Coturnix japonica: one gene and its partner. The protein of the gene in region 2 interacts with the protein of the main gene of each other region in a pairwise test. Links are inferred from orthologs where the notes say so. Each region holds a gene or a part of one and is shown on either strand. Other genes may lie near its edges.

Evidence for each region.
Region 1: the proteins of PEX13 (region 2) and PEX14 interact in a two-hybrid assay, tested with the Homo sapiens proteins (2 studies listed by BioGRID and IntAct, with this or other methods). The link is inferred for Coturnix japonica from reciprocal best matches to the Homo sapiens genes PEX13 and PEX14.

What each region holds. Positions count from the first base shown.
Region 1 is NC_029536.1:3,186,359-3,194,136, reverse strand, and holds the start of PEX14 (peroxisomal membrane protein PEX14), read right to left. Parts: upstream 4,931-7,778; 5' UTR 4,853-4,930; coding exon 4,817-4,852; intron 421-4,816; coding exon 373-420; intron 1-372. Other genes in the region: DFFA (DNA fragmentation factor subunit alpha), read left to right, coding at 5,034-5,130, 5,208-5,369, 5,512-5,642, 5,998-6,187, 6,530-6,684, 7,084-7,287. UniProt on the Homo sapiens protein: Component of the PEX13-PEX14 docking complex, a translocon channel that specifically mediates the import of peroxisomal cargo proteins bound to PEX5 receptor.
Region 2 is NC_029518.1:5,440,965-5,448,574, forward strand, and holds the start of PEX13 (peroxisome biogenesis factor 13), read right to left. Parts: upstream 4,997-7,610; 5' UTR 4,916-4,996; coding exon 4,842-4,915; intron 3,109-4,841; coding exon 2,411-3,108; intron 1,979-2,410; coding exon 1,853-1,978; intron 1,279-1,852; coding exon 983-1,278; 3' UTR 1-982. Other genes in the region: putative tRNA pseudouridine synthase Pus10, read left to right, coding at 5,158-5,283, 6,786-7,067. UniProt on the Homo sapiens protein: Component of the PEX13-PEX14 docking complex, a translocon channel that specifically mediates the import of peroxisomal cargo proteins bound to PEX5 receptor.

The DNA of each region.
Region 1 (7,778 bases), on a different chromosome or scaffold from region 2:
ATGGAAAGTACTTGAGCCTTCTCACCACAGCCTGTATTCACCATGAGCACCAAAGGAAAGGCAAAGGAGAAACTCAGTGAGACAGATGATGTGCTTAGGACAATGAGAAGGGCGAAGATTTCTGGCAAAGTTAAAGAGGAGTGAAGAGTAAGGGGGAAAAAAAGGGAAAATGAAGGTTGTGAAAGGAATGGCTGAAGCTCAGGAGGCTGATGTCTCGCTTCATGGTCATGGCCACAGGTCAACAGCACAACAACATTGGGCAGTTCAGACCTTTTTCACAAAGAGCCAGCTCCTTTCATTCAAAACGAGCAAAGACAACATCTCATATATTACATTATTAGCAAGAAATTGCGTGCTGCTGTTAGAACTTACCAGAGGCTCCCGAGATGCTGCATTTTCAGTAGCAGGGCTGGAGCCGGCCTGAAAAGTAAAAAGAAAAGTGAGGTTACATCGCCACCCCATGGACACAATTAGAAATGCTCATAAAGGGCCATCCGGACAGGCGAGCAGGATTTGGGCAGACACACGTTTCTGTTATTAGCAATAGTTCAGTGATGAACCGAAGACCAAAAGGTCACACAGAAAATTAGATCCATCAGTCGTCACTTAAACAGAACCCTGTCAATGGGCAGAGCTGCTGTAGGGAGCCAGAGAGCACTGAGACTGGTTTCCAAGGGACCCAGCGAGTCCTTAACATCTGTAAAGGTTTTTGAGATGATAAAGAAAGACAGTGGTCAGAAGCAGCCCAAAGTATTGCTACAAAAGTGGATGCAAAGGAACTTTGCTCTAATTTTATGCTTCTTTTTCCTCCTCTGTAGACCTCCATATGACACTGAGCATCTCCCATTTCCACCGCCAGTAACACACCCTTTGTTTTCTGCATGATTCTATTGAGAGAATACAGTGAAAGCTAAAACTATCTAGTGATACCACTAAGTCCTTAAGTGATCTCTTGACCTCCAACTACTTGCAGTTCTATGCAATACATCACACCTTCAAAGCAGCTCAAGTCTCTTTTTTCCCCATCTAAACACCCCAAAATATACAGAAATAAGTATTTGCCACAAGAGGGTGCCAGTAACACAAATACATCCAACTGCTGCTTCCAGACCCATGTGCATCCTCAGGCCCAACCAGCTCTCACAGCAAGGCAGTGATGTGTGGAGGCTCTTGGTGTTTCCCCATGCAGCCACCTCCACTTCTGTTTTACCCACTGTTTCTCTGCTAAAATTTCATGCACTATCAGTTCATCTCAATGACTGCAAATACCAGTTTCCACACCATACCCGAATCACGCGGACTGGTGTGGTGGAGGCAATGCCATGCGACTGTAAGAAAAGGGCACTTCTCCAAGTTTATGGCTGAGCTCCTGTCTCCATACACAGTGTTATTTACTGTCAGGCTCAGAACTGACCTCCATGGGTTTCACAGCCCCTATAAAGTCCCAGAGCCTCCCATGCACAGGAGCACATCTATTCTGCCTTCAGGAGCTGCACCAGCACTTAGAGTGGCACGTGCAACATTTAGCTGGCCTGGGAAGCTGCCCAAAGAGCATCTGGAATGAAGCCCAGGTTAATGTGGGAAAATATGTATGATGTGGGTAGGTCAGAGTTTTGAAAGCACATACTCAAAAATTCTGATGTGCTTGTAAACAGCCTGATGACACATTTGATGAGCTGGATAATTCATAGTATTTTGATTGTATTGTATAAGGCTACCAACAGTTTAAATGAGATCTGCATTTCCTTCCAGCAATATCACTGCACACAAGGCATGGTGACAGTGAAAGAACTAGTGTCCTAAGGCAGAGCACAACAACCCTCTGGTACATGGGAGCTCTGAGATAAGTCAGGGAAGAATCCATCCTTTCTATGTAGTGGCTGTTCAGTAGCCTGTGTTTAACAAAGCAATGGCCATCACAGTCCAGAGACCAAATATCCCATACCATAAACCATCCTTTAAGATGCACACAGCAGAAAACTCCAAGGCTGAGCACTGCAGAGCTGGAGGCAAGAAGGGAGGAAAATTCACCTACACGTTGGCTAGTGATGCAACTAGAGAAGTGTGTCTATGGAGCAAGAAATCAGGTATCTTTCAACATCTTTGCAATTTAATTATTTCCCTACATGAAGGTAAAACACAGCTAGATGGCAGACTGGGCCCAGAGTGGATACAGCGAAGCTTTAGAAAGAAAACAAGGTCTGGGCCTGTGCTGCTGCTGGCTGAGCCAGTGATGCTCTCCAATATACAGTCCAAGTACTCAGCAGCAAAGAAACCCTGATAGCCCTGAGAGGTCTGAAATGGGTTACTCTGTTCACAGCCTACACCATCTGATCACCCCCCACTTTTAGGGGGTTCTTCTGCGTTTTTCCTTTGTTTTGTTGTTTTATTAAGCAAATACATGACTAAAAAGCCCAAAGAATATGATTTCTAAACAAAATAAATTATTTAGAAATCTGTAGCAGAAACATTTATTGCCTTCAGAACATAATCCTATCTATGTCAATGATTTCATCTGAGCTGCAACACCACTCTCTGCAATGCTTGAGGCAATACATTAATTCATGAGAATGAGACAAAGTAGACAAAACAGACAGTAAGGCAAAAGATATCTGACGCTCCCTCTGCAGCATCTGAACTAACTAGATTTGTAATAGCAGATGATAGGATCCAAACATAAACATGTTAAGCAAGACAGTCCTACCACTCACAGGTTCATGTTGGTAAAGATAACTAAGGGTAGAAAATAAACACATTTTTTAAGTCCTTTACATGTTTAGTGTGTTACAAAGACAACCTCTTACATGCCTTGGTACCAGTGTCAAAACTGCAGTGGCTGCATATCATGAGTGGTATTCATATGCTGATTATCATATGCTGATAAAAAGCTTTATTGCAAAACTGTCCCCTTAAGAAATCATCTACTGTGCTTCATATCCTTTAATTGCAGATTACAGCCCTTGTTTCTGGCCAAACCTGCTGGTTTCTCTCCAATCCCACCCGAGCTAACCAGATTTGAGGGCACCGAACACTCCCCAGCTGCAGTTCTGGATGAAGACATGCAACCAATGTCAGAGTGATGGGGGAGGAGAGCAGGACATGACAGCCTTAGACAGAACAACCCTTCTGTCCCATGCTAACACACAACATGGGGAAGGAGGAACTTCAATACACAAACAGGGCTGCTCCTGGTGCACAGATCATGGCTATCCAGCAGCTGAACTCACTGTTACCTCCTGTACCCAACACCAAAGCAGCCCTACAAACTGGATCTGCTATGAGGAGCCAGACACAGTGGTTTCTCTGTGGCAAAAAGTTACTTTCCAACAGCCTGCATCCAAAATGCAAACATCAAGCCTTCTTTCAAGGCAAAGCAATACTAAAGAAGTATAAAACAGAGACTTAAAGGGTGCATTGAGTGTACACGATATCATAGGAACCCAAATGTTTCTCAGGCAATCGCATTTACCAATTAAGCAGACTTCTTCATTGGAAACCTGCAGGCAGCTGCCTCATGGACTGCCCCAGGTGGCTCACAGATCAGTCTGAGGCTGTTTCAGGCTTCCTCCTGTTGACAGAGCTCAACCCACATCATGAGGAACAGATTGATGTGCCTGCACCTCAAGGTGCTACTGATGAAAGCACACAACCAGCACAGAACTGCCCAGCAAGCCAACCAGCAGCCTGATAATGGGGCCTATACAGCCTGGGAGCTCACAGTGTCAGAGCACAGCCTTTATGGAACGTATCTCATCTCTGTTTAGTTCAGCAATGCTCACTACAAACTTAGCTTTTTCAGTCCAAAATAAAAGTACCAATGGAAACGTGTGTGGTGATTCAGTCAAATGAGAACAGACGTGAATGACTGCACAGAAAAGCGAAGCAGACTTTGCTGTTTCCCTCCCTGCTCCTCTCTCCTTCACCTGCAAGGAAAGGCCTTTCTGCAACCGCTTCAAGGATGGTTTTACAGCCTTCATATGGTCCAGCATAGCACTGCATCAGAGGCAGAGGTGAGATGAGGAGTGCCAGGTCCCTGCTCCTGGGCTCGGTTGGCAGTGTGTGACACTGGGGTTATGCTGCACTCTGTCCTATGGCACCGCCTTTGGGGTTTCCCTCACAGCTGGCTGGAAACCCACAATGAGTGCAGCTCCACCATGCTGCCATCTTCCCTTCTGCCTTCCCCGTTTGCTTCAGGGCCCAGTTTATGAAACCCCAGCGATCCCAGCACCTGCCCAGAGCAGACAGTCACTCCATCACACCCGTGCCTCTCCCCACGCCCCACACTCACTCGTGGGCAGCGTTTGCATCGCGCCTGTCATTGCAGTGCCCTTTGGTGCCATTGCTTCAAGGATCTCCCAACCTGTTTGTTGCGAGGCAGAATCACTTGGTCTACCTGACGTGCAGACCCACCTGACGGGCACTGTGCCTGTCTGTACCCGGGCTCTGCGTTGGTTTGTTCCCACTTTTTTTATCCTCCCATCCAAGTGCTTAACTCCACACACACACATACACACACAGAGCTCCCCGAGGCCGGGCAGCCGCTCCATGCGGGATCCTCCTCCCCTCTGCCCCTGGAGGCCGCTATGAGGGGGGGGCGGGCGGCGGTCGGAGCTGAGGCCGCGCGTGGGGGGCAGGAGCGAAACCCAGATCACGAGGAGGCGGCGGGGACGGCAGGGGAATCAAGGCAGGGAATGGAGGCCCGCAGCTCGCAGCCCTGCCCTCCCTTCACCCTGACCTCTCCCCCGCGGCTCTGTTGGCAGCCCGGCCCTGCCCGCCCCGCTGCCCGAGCAGAGCGCACAGCTCCGGCCCCTCGTACCTGGCTGGGCTGCTCCGCTTGCTCCGAGGCCGCCATCTTCCCAGGCCCGGCTAATCCATGCCCGCCCAGGCGATGGCACAGCCCGCCCCGCCGCCCGTAGCGCCGCAGGCAGCACGAGCCGAGCTCCGCACCGCCGATACAGCACAACGCGATGCTCTGCCGCACGGAGCTCGTGTCCCTTTAAGGCGGCTGCGGAACTACGCGGCCCATCGCGGCCATGGCGGGGCGGCTGAAGCCGTGCGTGGTGCGGCGGGGAGACGGCAGCGAGCAGCACGGGCTGGCAGCGTCCTGCCTGCGGGAGCTGCGCGATAAGGGTGAGCGGCGCTGCACGGGCACGGCCCGCTCATACAGCACGGGGTCAGAACGGCATTAAACGTTTCTCTGCGCGCAGCTGGACGAGCTCTGGGTATCGGCGAGGACGGGCGGCCCGTCACCTTGGTGCTGGCGGAGGATGGAACCATCGTGGACGACGAGGATTATTTCATGTGCCTGCCCGCAAACACCGCCTTCGTGGCGCTGGGCAAAGGAGAGAGGTGGTGCGGGACGAGCGCAGGTACGAGCGGGGCTAGGGACCTCGGAAAGGAGGCAAAGGGCATAGAAAAGCAGCGTTAAATAGCTTTAAATGGGTAACGGCTGTCGTCCCGATCTCGATAGCTTTGTGTTTTCATCTTTTGGCTGCTGATGTGATGTGGCAGGCGGCAGATCGGGCTGGCTATCACAGCCTGCGGATGAAGTGGACAGCGGGGCAGAGAGGTGGAGGCAGCTGGCACGGCAGCTGAAGGGAGACCTGTCCAACATCATCCTGATGTCTGAAGGAGACCTGCAGGTACGGGGGGTGGGGGACACCAGGCTCATCCATCCATTGCAAAGGATGGCATAAATTGGATCACTTAATTCAGCTCTTGTTTCTTTGGCTGTGGTGCTAACGTGAAAATTCTCCTTGAGGGGGATTCCTTGTTCCACTGACAGCACCAGCGTCTGAGGAAGATGCTCTAAACCACTGACTGTCCCTCACATCATGTCTTTGTGCCTCTGCCCCTTCTTGCCTTCCTGAAACATGCAGATTCTCAAGTGCCAGCCTTGAGGCTCCGTCATTCAGGCTTGTCGTTTGTGCTGTAATCAGTGTGATGGAATTGCTCATCACTCAGTCCATAGAACAGGAACACTCCTATCGTTTGAAGGTGCTGATTGACATACCACGTTCAGATCTGGCAGAGGAACTTGCCCAAAGTCAAACCAAAACCCAGGTACTGCAGGACACCCTGCAGCAGGTGCTGGACAGACGAGAAGAGGAACGTCAGTCAAAGCAGCTCCTGGAACTCTACTTAGAGGCCTTGAAAAATGAAGACAGCGTCTTAAGCAAAGTAGCAGGTAGGGAACGTGAGGATATTGAAGAAGGAGCTTCTCAGAGAAGCCTGAAAGAGTTGAGTGGGACAGATAAGTGGGGGAAGGATTGGAGTGAGTCACTTGCTATTAACATGGGTGATTGAATAGCTGGTGTAGTGGAAGAATACCCTGAGTGGGAGGAGTCCTTTCACTGCTTACAGTGCCTGAAAGTAGAATATGGGGGCAAAGCTTACGTAGTGTAGTCATCCTTAATACTATGGGTTTCCTAAGTTAGAGACTGAGTATCTAATCTTAAAAAGAACAGCGCAGTCTGGGCTATGCTTCCCGTCCTGTGTGTGTGGCTGTAATGATTCTTCTGCTTTTCAGAGTCTGAGAGCGTACCAAGAAAGGAGATGGATGTGGTCGACACAGGTACCAGCAGTGCAGGGACTTCAGCCACAACAGCCCTCAGTGTCCAGATCTGTGCTGTTCTGAAAGAGAAACCTGCCCCAGAGCTCTGCTTAGACAGTCAGACTCTAGAGGTGGGTGAGGATCATACAACCATGTTCTGGCACATCTCTCCTGTCTGGATAAAGGGTTGAGAGCTGAAGCTTCTGTGGCATGAAAAGGAAAGTCTGGGTAAACTAGCCATGACAAAGTGTTCTGATGATATGAAATTATTAATCTCGCTTTTCTGTGCTGCAGAAGCTAGGGAACTGTTTTCCGTTAGTTGGAACGTAGAGCTTCAAGCTCTAAGTACTGGTAGGATATAAAGAAAAATAAATTCGCTTAGGAGATACAAGCTGCAGGCTGGAAACATCTTCAACACCAAATTAGCATTAAAGAGGTGTCTCATTACTCCTGTTCTTGGTGCGTGCGGGCAGGCGGTTGTGGTGGTAGAGCATCAGTGGGCAGCACTGCTACAAATCTTTCTCTTACAGCTGGTGGTGAAGGAAGACACTCAAGCCCTGGCTGCAGCTTTAAGCTGGGACAAGCAGAAAGCCGAAGCTGTACAACAAGCTTGTGATCAGGAGCTCTCCAAGCGTCTACAGCAAGTGCAGACTTTGCACTCCCTGAGGAGCACATCGAGGGGCAAGAAAGCGCTGCCCTGTGGAGATGGGCTCAGTTCAAAACGCAGGAAATAAGACTATAGCTCTGCCTCAAGTGTCAGGGAAATGCAAGTAGTTGTGGGTTGCATTTTTTGTGGTTGTTTTTTTAATTAGAACCAACAGAAATAAGGTATGTCCTGGGAGCCATAGTTTGCTGGTCATACTGTGGTCTGGCTGCAGAAAACTAAGATTTGGACATTGTCCTGAGGCATAAATACTTGTGCTGATTCAAATCATGTGTAACCAAAGGGATGTGGACTTTTTGCAGAGTACTAGAACAATGGTATTGCTAAACACAGCGTGTAAGAGTTCAGCTCTGAATAGCTCATTGGGAGCCAGAAAATTCCATCTGATGGTGCTGATCTGGCTGTGAAGCCTTGGACAGTTTGTTCACCTTCCCACCATCTACAGCAGAAAGGATGAAAATTACCTACATCGTTAATGAACAGGAATCAGGCATTTTGATCATTGCTCACTGAACAGTTTTTAGGGGGGGGTTGAGGGATTTATTGTGATATTATCATTGT
Region 2 (7,610 bases):
TAGTTAAATGGGACGACTAAGTATGAAAGTTCACATTTTCTTTGCCACTCAATGCAATTCTGTATGCTCCTGCCTCTCCACAGCATCACTATTGCACTAAAATGCAGGAATCTTTGATATTCTTTAAAAACAAATATAAACAGAAAAAAAATGGAAGGGATGTGGTAGTTGATAGGTACTGACAGGCAGTTAATAGGCTACAACACAAAACGGCAAGAAGTGATGCCAAATTAGCATACAATAAAAGGGAGTAAAAATAAGCAACCTGGAGAGCGCTTGACTAAATGATGCCCTTTATTCTAATGTTATTTTAATAAACAAAGCCTCTTTGCTTTTTTTTTTTTTAAATTTCCAATCTCCTCCCCTCACTGTACCCCCTTCTCTTTCTCGTAATCACTATTTTTATTAAAAAAAAAAAAAAAAAAGCAACCTAAGTCATAACTGACAGAAGCTGTACTTGTTACCAAAAGCAAGCAATTGAGAACTTGTAGTGGTTTGACTGTGTCACCTAAATCTCTTGCAATTCTTATAGGGAAACAAAGTACTGTTATCAGTATTTTCCTCAGCCTCCAGTTCCGGACAACTTCTCACAGAAATTTACTTTTCCTTTGCACATCAGCTGAAGTGGCATCTTGTCAAGTGACATTCCAATGAAGACTGAACACTGATTTCTAGATTTTATCAACAGTTTGTCTACTTAATGAAAACAGGCCCGCCCTTATTTCCTTGTTTGTTTGCTTTGTTATAAACACCTCATTCCTTTTGGCTCTAGATCTTATAGCTGCTGCAAGGTAGTTAGGTAGCCACTAATACACAGCCTTAAGTGAATAAAAAAGAAATCATACAAATTTGAGCAAGAATTTCTCCATCCTTTCACCAGTCTGGTACAGGCCTATCAGTGTTCTACTACAACACAGATTTTAAACATACCCTAAGTTTTATCAATAAAACACCATTCAGTTACTTTGTTGAGGAAAGTGCATTAGAGTTCCTGTTTCTCTCCACTAACTGCAGTGGAATCGGATGCAACAGGAACTTTATTACTTCCTACAAAAACAGAATCAAAAGCAGCTTCCTGTTCCTCTAAAGTCACAGCAGCAGTGGACCCTCTAGCAGACATCCCAGTGAGGGACGGACGTTGCTCTGTAATCCTTTCCAGGTCCGCTGCTTTCCTGCCTCTTCTTTTGCCCAGTATTCTGATATAATTAGCTGGTACAAGTCCTGTTGTTTGACCATCATAACTAGCCAAAAGCCAGCCACGGATTTTGGGTTGTTGGTCTAAAAAAAGAAAATGCAAAAGCATTAAGTTACCAAGCAATTCAAAATATACTGCAGTTGAGGCACAAATACATGAGGAGGCTGAGCACAGCTAATCACACAGAGAAAATAACTCTGTGATAAAAGGGAAACACGAATTATTACACAAGAGAAATGATGAGGATCTGCATTGATGTGATGTTCTGAAGTGTGCTGTGAAGCTGAAAGTGTTGACACCACCATACTGCCATTTCCATAAGGATTTTCACAGTTATATAGCAAATATGAAAAAAGGATAGCCACAAAGGGAACTACAAAGTACTTCCAGAGTAACTTTAGGCTGTGTCATACTTTAGGGAAATTGAACAAAACTATTTAATAAGTTTTATTACAGTGCACGTAATAACAAGTGAAAAAAATATAAATCAGTAGGTATGAAAACTTGGGTCAAAATGTGTTTTGTTTTTGCATTCTTACTTTTTCCCCCTGCTCCTTTTCCCCCTTCCCCCCCCCCGAAAAACACACAATTTCAGAATCAAACTACACAACTTATTTCACATATGATTAGAAAACAAACTGAAAATTGAAAGCTTACCTTTGGGTGCTAATCTTAGAATGTCACCAGCACGGAAGGAAATTTCCTCTTCTGAGAGCGCACTGAAGTCATATTCTGCTCTTCCAACTACATGATCATCTTCTCCACTTGCCCAGTTACTAGAAACTGTTTCCGAAAAGAAATTAAGAATTTACTTGCTTTGAATTTAATAGATGAGATTTTTGGTTTGTCTGTTTTTGGTTTTTAAACCAAAGAGAAGACACCTTAATTTCTTTGCTTCTCTAACAGAGAACTGATGGGACTAACAAAGACAACATTTGGTGAGTCAACCAATAGCTTTTCCTTCTTCTCCACCTGCCACATTTAATAGAAAGGAATCACAAATTTGGAGTCATATAAAGTGTACCATGAAACTGAATCTCAGATCAACACTAAGCTATTTATACTTGTACCACATGCTTAAAATTCAGTGTTGTACCCCAGAATCTACACACTTCCATTACCCAAGTCTAGGTTTAATCTCTATACACGTGATAACTAAATGAACAATATACTCTATACTTTTCATGATTCTCTCATGCTGCAGATCATCTTTACCTGATTCTTCATCACTGTATGTAGAAAGGAGTTTCCAAATCAGATAGGGACCTCCCATAATAACAGCAAAGAACAAAAAAATAGGCCAGGATTTTGCCGAGTTAGCTGCCTTGTCTTCAAGACCAACACGAGCTACTGTCCCCTGACTTTCAGCCCACAGATCCTCATTCTCAGAGCTCTTCCGCAGACCCAGTAATCGTTGTAGACGCTGGTAGAGATATCTTATAGTTCTCACTAAAGCAAATGCTGAAAACACCTTTGTGAAGTGTACTTTGAGGCGGGAGAAGTGATTGGCTACATCCAACACAGCTCTGAAACTGTTGTACACAGCTGAAAAGGTAGCATCCATCATCATGCTGACTGAGGCAAACGCATGCACAATACTTTCAATGGACTGAAATGCACCTCTGCTGCTCTCTTCAGCCTGTTGAACAAACCTGCTGGGAGGAATATCATCTGTACGAAAGCGGTTATAGCCCAAGCCACCATATCCATAACTGTAAGGGCTGTAGCTTCCATAAAAAGAAGTTCCATATGAACCATAGCCTGTAGTAAAAGAACTGCTATATGCTGGCCTTAAAGTACTGAGACTACTGCTTCCTGTTTGCTGTGATGGTCTCGGCAAAATAGGTGGAGGTATTCGTGCAACTGTGGGTTGTCCAGGTCTGGTCAGCAAGTTGTCACCCAAGTCAGGAGACCTAAACAGATTCAGACAACCAAGATCAGTACTCAAAATGTGGTTATGTTTTCATTTTCTCCAGCATTATTCAATAGCTATCAATATGACCCTGCGCTTTGCTAGTGCCAGGTTGTGGAATCTGGTTACCAAACATTCATACTGTCGCACAGTGTTAGTGAGAATTAAAAATTTCTGTCAAGAAATACAAATCTTTCATTAAAAAAAAAAAGAAATGTTCAATGCAAATGTAGAATTGCAGCATATCTGAAACATATAAGAGCTGTTTTTCTTGTACAGACCAAAAGCACAAAATGCTAAGGCTAGACCCATCCAATCTGATGCTGATTCAACTCCTAAGTCATTCGCCTGTGCAAAAGGGCATCTCATACACACTACCAAGAATATTTTGCAATTTGAAAGCTTTAATTCCAACATTTGTTCTTGTTTCTTCTAGATAATGAGCCAATGGTACAGCAAGAAGGAAGCTAGACAGCTCCTCTGAAGTCACCCTTGGAGAACCGACTGGTGGGACCTAACAAAATTCAAATGATAACAGCACACACAACAGCCTAGGGCTCCCTGCTTCCCCCTACTGAACTGGGACTGAATCTAAGACTGTTAACAGCTGGCAGAAAGAGCTACTATGAGCTCATTTACTTTTTTAAAAAAAATAATAATAAATTTCTAGCTCTTGGCATGCCTGTAAGTTTCAGCCGGTTTACCTACATCCTTTGTAATAGGTCTGTGCAAGTACTTGGCATCTGAATTCTATCAAGTAGCTGTCCATCTTCTGCTGTTTTCCATACTGAAGCAATCTGCTGTACCACTTACACATGCGATAGGGAACAACTTTCCCCACAGCAAAACTTACAGGTTTACCTAAAGCGAAGTATAATATTTACATCTTTACACTGTTTGTTTCTTCCAGCCTAGACTGTCACAGTTAAAAGCAGAAGTAAAAATAAGGTACTACCACAGAAGTTGGGGGCACCCTCCCACAAACCAGATTAGGACAACTCAATTTTTAGATACCTGGAGTAAATTAAAATGAACTAGATAACCTCACCAAGAAAACTTAACATCAAACCTCCTGCTCAGCAAGCTTCAGCCTGCAGTGAAAGCATAGTTCTTCCTGAAAGTTCAGTTTGGAGGTAACCTTTTGCCCAGTTTCAGCTCACCCTAATTGCAATCAACAGCACCAAGTGGAAAACAAGACTCATCTTCAGCCATCATCTTTCCTTGGCTTCTGATTAAAATTCATTTGACAACTCTTTCTGCACAGCATCCTTCCCAGTGAAGTACACTCTGTCTTCTGCAGGAGCAGAGCCTCAGGTCAACAAATACACATTCATCTTTTCCACTGCCAGGATCAACCACACACAGCCCCACTCCCACGGGGAGCACATACTCCGTGGCTCTGCAACCCTCACGTACGAACGACAGCGTTTTTTCCACTTGTGGCAACACACCCAGCCCTGCTAACACGTCAACCTCCACCTCGTTAAACCCTCGACTTTCCGTAGACTGGCTCTGAGCCCACAGAACCCGCTGACGAAGATCCACAGGAGGTTCCCCCCACTCTTCTATACACCTCCCCAAGAAGCGGAGTGAACCCGCGCACAACCCGCCCCTCAGCTCCCAGGCCCGGCCAAGGCGCCGCGCCGACGGGCTAGGCCCGACCTTTGAGCCCGGCCGCCCGCAGGGCCGACCCCGCGGTGCGCGGAGAGGCCCGTGCGAGGGGCACACACTCACTGGAAGGCGGGCGCCACGCTGCCCACTAACCGCCGGTTCTCCCAGGGCTTGGGAGGCGGCGGCTGCGAAGCCATCCCCGCCTCGCTGCAGCCCCGTTCGAGCCCCGGCCCGCTCCGGCCCGCCGCGCTCCTCCGCCCGCCCCCGGCAGGCGGGACGCCGCAGCGCCGAGCGATCGAGCCGGCGGCCTTCCGGGCACCGCGCTACGTGCTCCGCCCTGCGCTCTATCGACGCGCTCCGCCCCGCGCCGCGCTGGGTTTGATGCTCCTGTGCTCAGTGCGGCCTATATTTAGTACTGTGATTATTAGTGTTGTCCAGCATGTCTTCTCTAACAGAAAAGGACAGGCCGATTGTTCAGCTGTTACTGGGTGCTGGCACATGCCCACGATGTATTTTCAGGTTCTGCCGTGTGGGATCACAGACGCTTTATAGGCATCCATACAAGGTTTGTTCTTTGTATTTCTGATTAGAACATGTGGCCGTATGAATGCAGTATCGTGCTGTACACTACTTGGAGGAGAAGGATGTTGTTTGTATTCTTGGACATTGCCTGTTGGGAAAGCTCTGTGCAAGTGTGAGAAATTACAGTAGTGCTGTGGTATAAGAATTCCCGTCAGTTTGGTGTTAGGTTCGTTAAGTTGCTGTGTATTCCCAGGAAAACTCTGTAAACAGGACAGAGCAACTTCTGCACAGCTCTATCACTCAAGCAGTGTATCCCCGACAGTTCCCTCCTTCGTTTTTCCTTTAACACAGTAAGTCACAAAGGGGCTGTGGGTCACGGCAGCTGATTGGGGGCTTTCTCTTCTTGCCTCAAATTCCTTCCGTCTTCCAGCAGCATTGGCTGAGGGATGTAGCTGAAGAATGGCGCAGTTGATGCTCCGCTGTCATTCCAGCAGTGTTATTAGGCACCCTATTTAGCTGACCTTCCCGCTGAAATTCAGCATTCTGAATTGTTTTCCCAGTTGTGCACCGTCAGCCTTCCTGTGTCTTTGTATTATGTGCTTCTCAAATTGTTTTTGGCTACTTGCTCCTTCACCACGTTGATTCATAGAGTTCTCATTATGTAGGCCTATTATTTCCGTGTATCTGCCCTAATGATGTCTTTATGCTTGTGTGTTACGGTGTTTGCCTTGATTATTTCACTTTCACTCAAGTTTAGACTCTCCAGAATTCTTCTTTCACGTCTTTCTTCCTAATCCTGTTTCATTTTTAATCAATCTGTTGAGAAGTGTTTGTTCTGTGTGCCATTTATCATGCTTTTGCAGCTCTATCCAATTTTCATCTGAGTTGCGACAGTAAATGCTGTTATTGAAGATGTCTTAATAAATCCTTATTTTTTTTTCTGACCCAAGTGTTACCTCTACCTTTCATCCTTCCTAAATTTCAGATATATGGTTAATTCTCTCTCCTCACCAGCACATTCATTAATATTCATAAGCTTCTCATTACATGAATGAATGAGACGTACTTTGTCGTGTGTTTAATTTCACTATTGCATTTATCTGCTCTAATTTTCTTCTCATACTGTGGTAGCCAGCTGTCTTCGTTGTGTGGGCTGTCAGTGTTGGAGGATTAAATTCTTAGGTAAGAAATGGCAAAAAGGCAGTAGACACATATTTTCCTTGAACAGTGACAAGGCTGAAGATAAATGCATTTCTGCAAGTTGGTCTTTAAAATGTTTCCAGTGTTCTTGGAAAGTAAAGAAGTCTGTTAAGCAAAAAAAGTTTTGTTGGGGTGGTAACGTTTTGACAGAAGTACAGATTGGAGCTTTTGTTTTTTATTGTGCGAGTGTCTTTTTGGTATCTTTACAAGTTGCTAATTACATACACAAAGACTAAAGCTACAGGTGGTTTCTTCTGCTTTTTAAACCTGTGTTTGTAAGTGCTTTTTACAGCACTGAATTCGAGAGGAAAAGTCAACAAAGTAAAATCCCACTGTTTGTGTTAGGATTTGATGAAGGATTTGAAACAATTCCTGAACGGTAATCAAGAAAAAGAAGATACAACTTGCTTTGATGTAGCTGATCCACCTTGTAAGCGATTCAGACTTGGACATGCAGAAGGAGGGCCTGAAGATCTGAACCAGAATGGAGCGCTCAGTCAGATTTCTTTGGTTAATGATGATAATGCTGCTGTGCAGAACTCAGCTGCGGAGAACTCAGCTGCAGAAGTTTGCAATGTCTGTTTGGGAATTCTTCAGGAGTTCTGCGAGGCTGACTTTGTTAAAAAGGTAAATAATCTTAATCTACAAGTATATTTTTTAGGAGCTTTTGTATGTTAGGGCCTGCAGTATAGATCTGGTGATTTAGAAACACTGTACAGTTAAACAATTGACAGAGAGAGCAAATCAAACCGAAACATTTTCTTGTGTTGAATATTTGAGTTGTAGATGGTGCCATTCAGCTACATACAGCTCACTGACACAGTATTTGCGTACCTGTTTTGCAGCTGGGAAATAAAATGCGTGACCATGTTTTGTCCAAGGTTTGTTATAATGTAACTTTGAAAGAAAGGTATAGGTGCAGTGGAATAACAGGAATGTATTTTTGTAATCAGGTTAATGAAACTTCACTATAAACCAATCTCTCTCCTCTTTTAGCTGTGTAAGGGCAATATGAGGAGTCATCAAATGCTGTGCTGTTTAGTTTAACTGTCTGTTTCTAACACAGGAGTGTTTCTTTACTATATAGCACTATTTAGAAACCCACAAAGGAAAAATGTATTTGGTGGTACAGCATTGCAGATAATGAAGAAAAAAGGAGTTAAGAGAGAG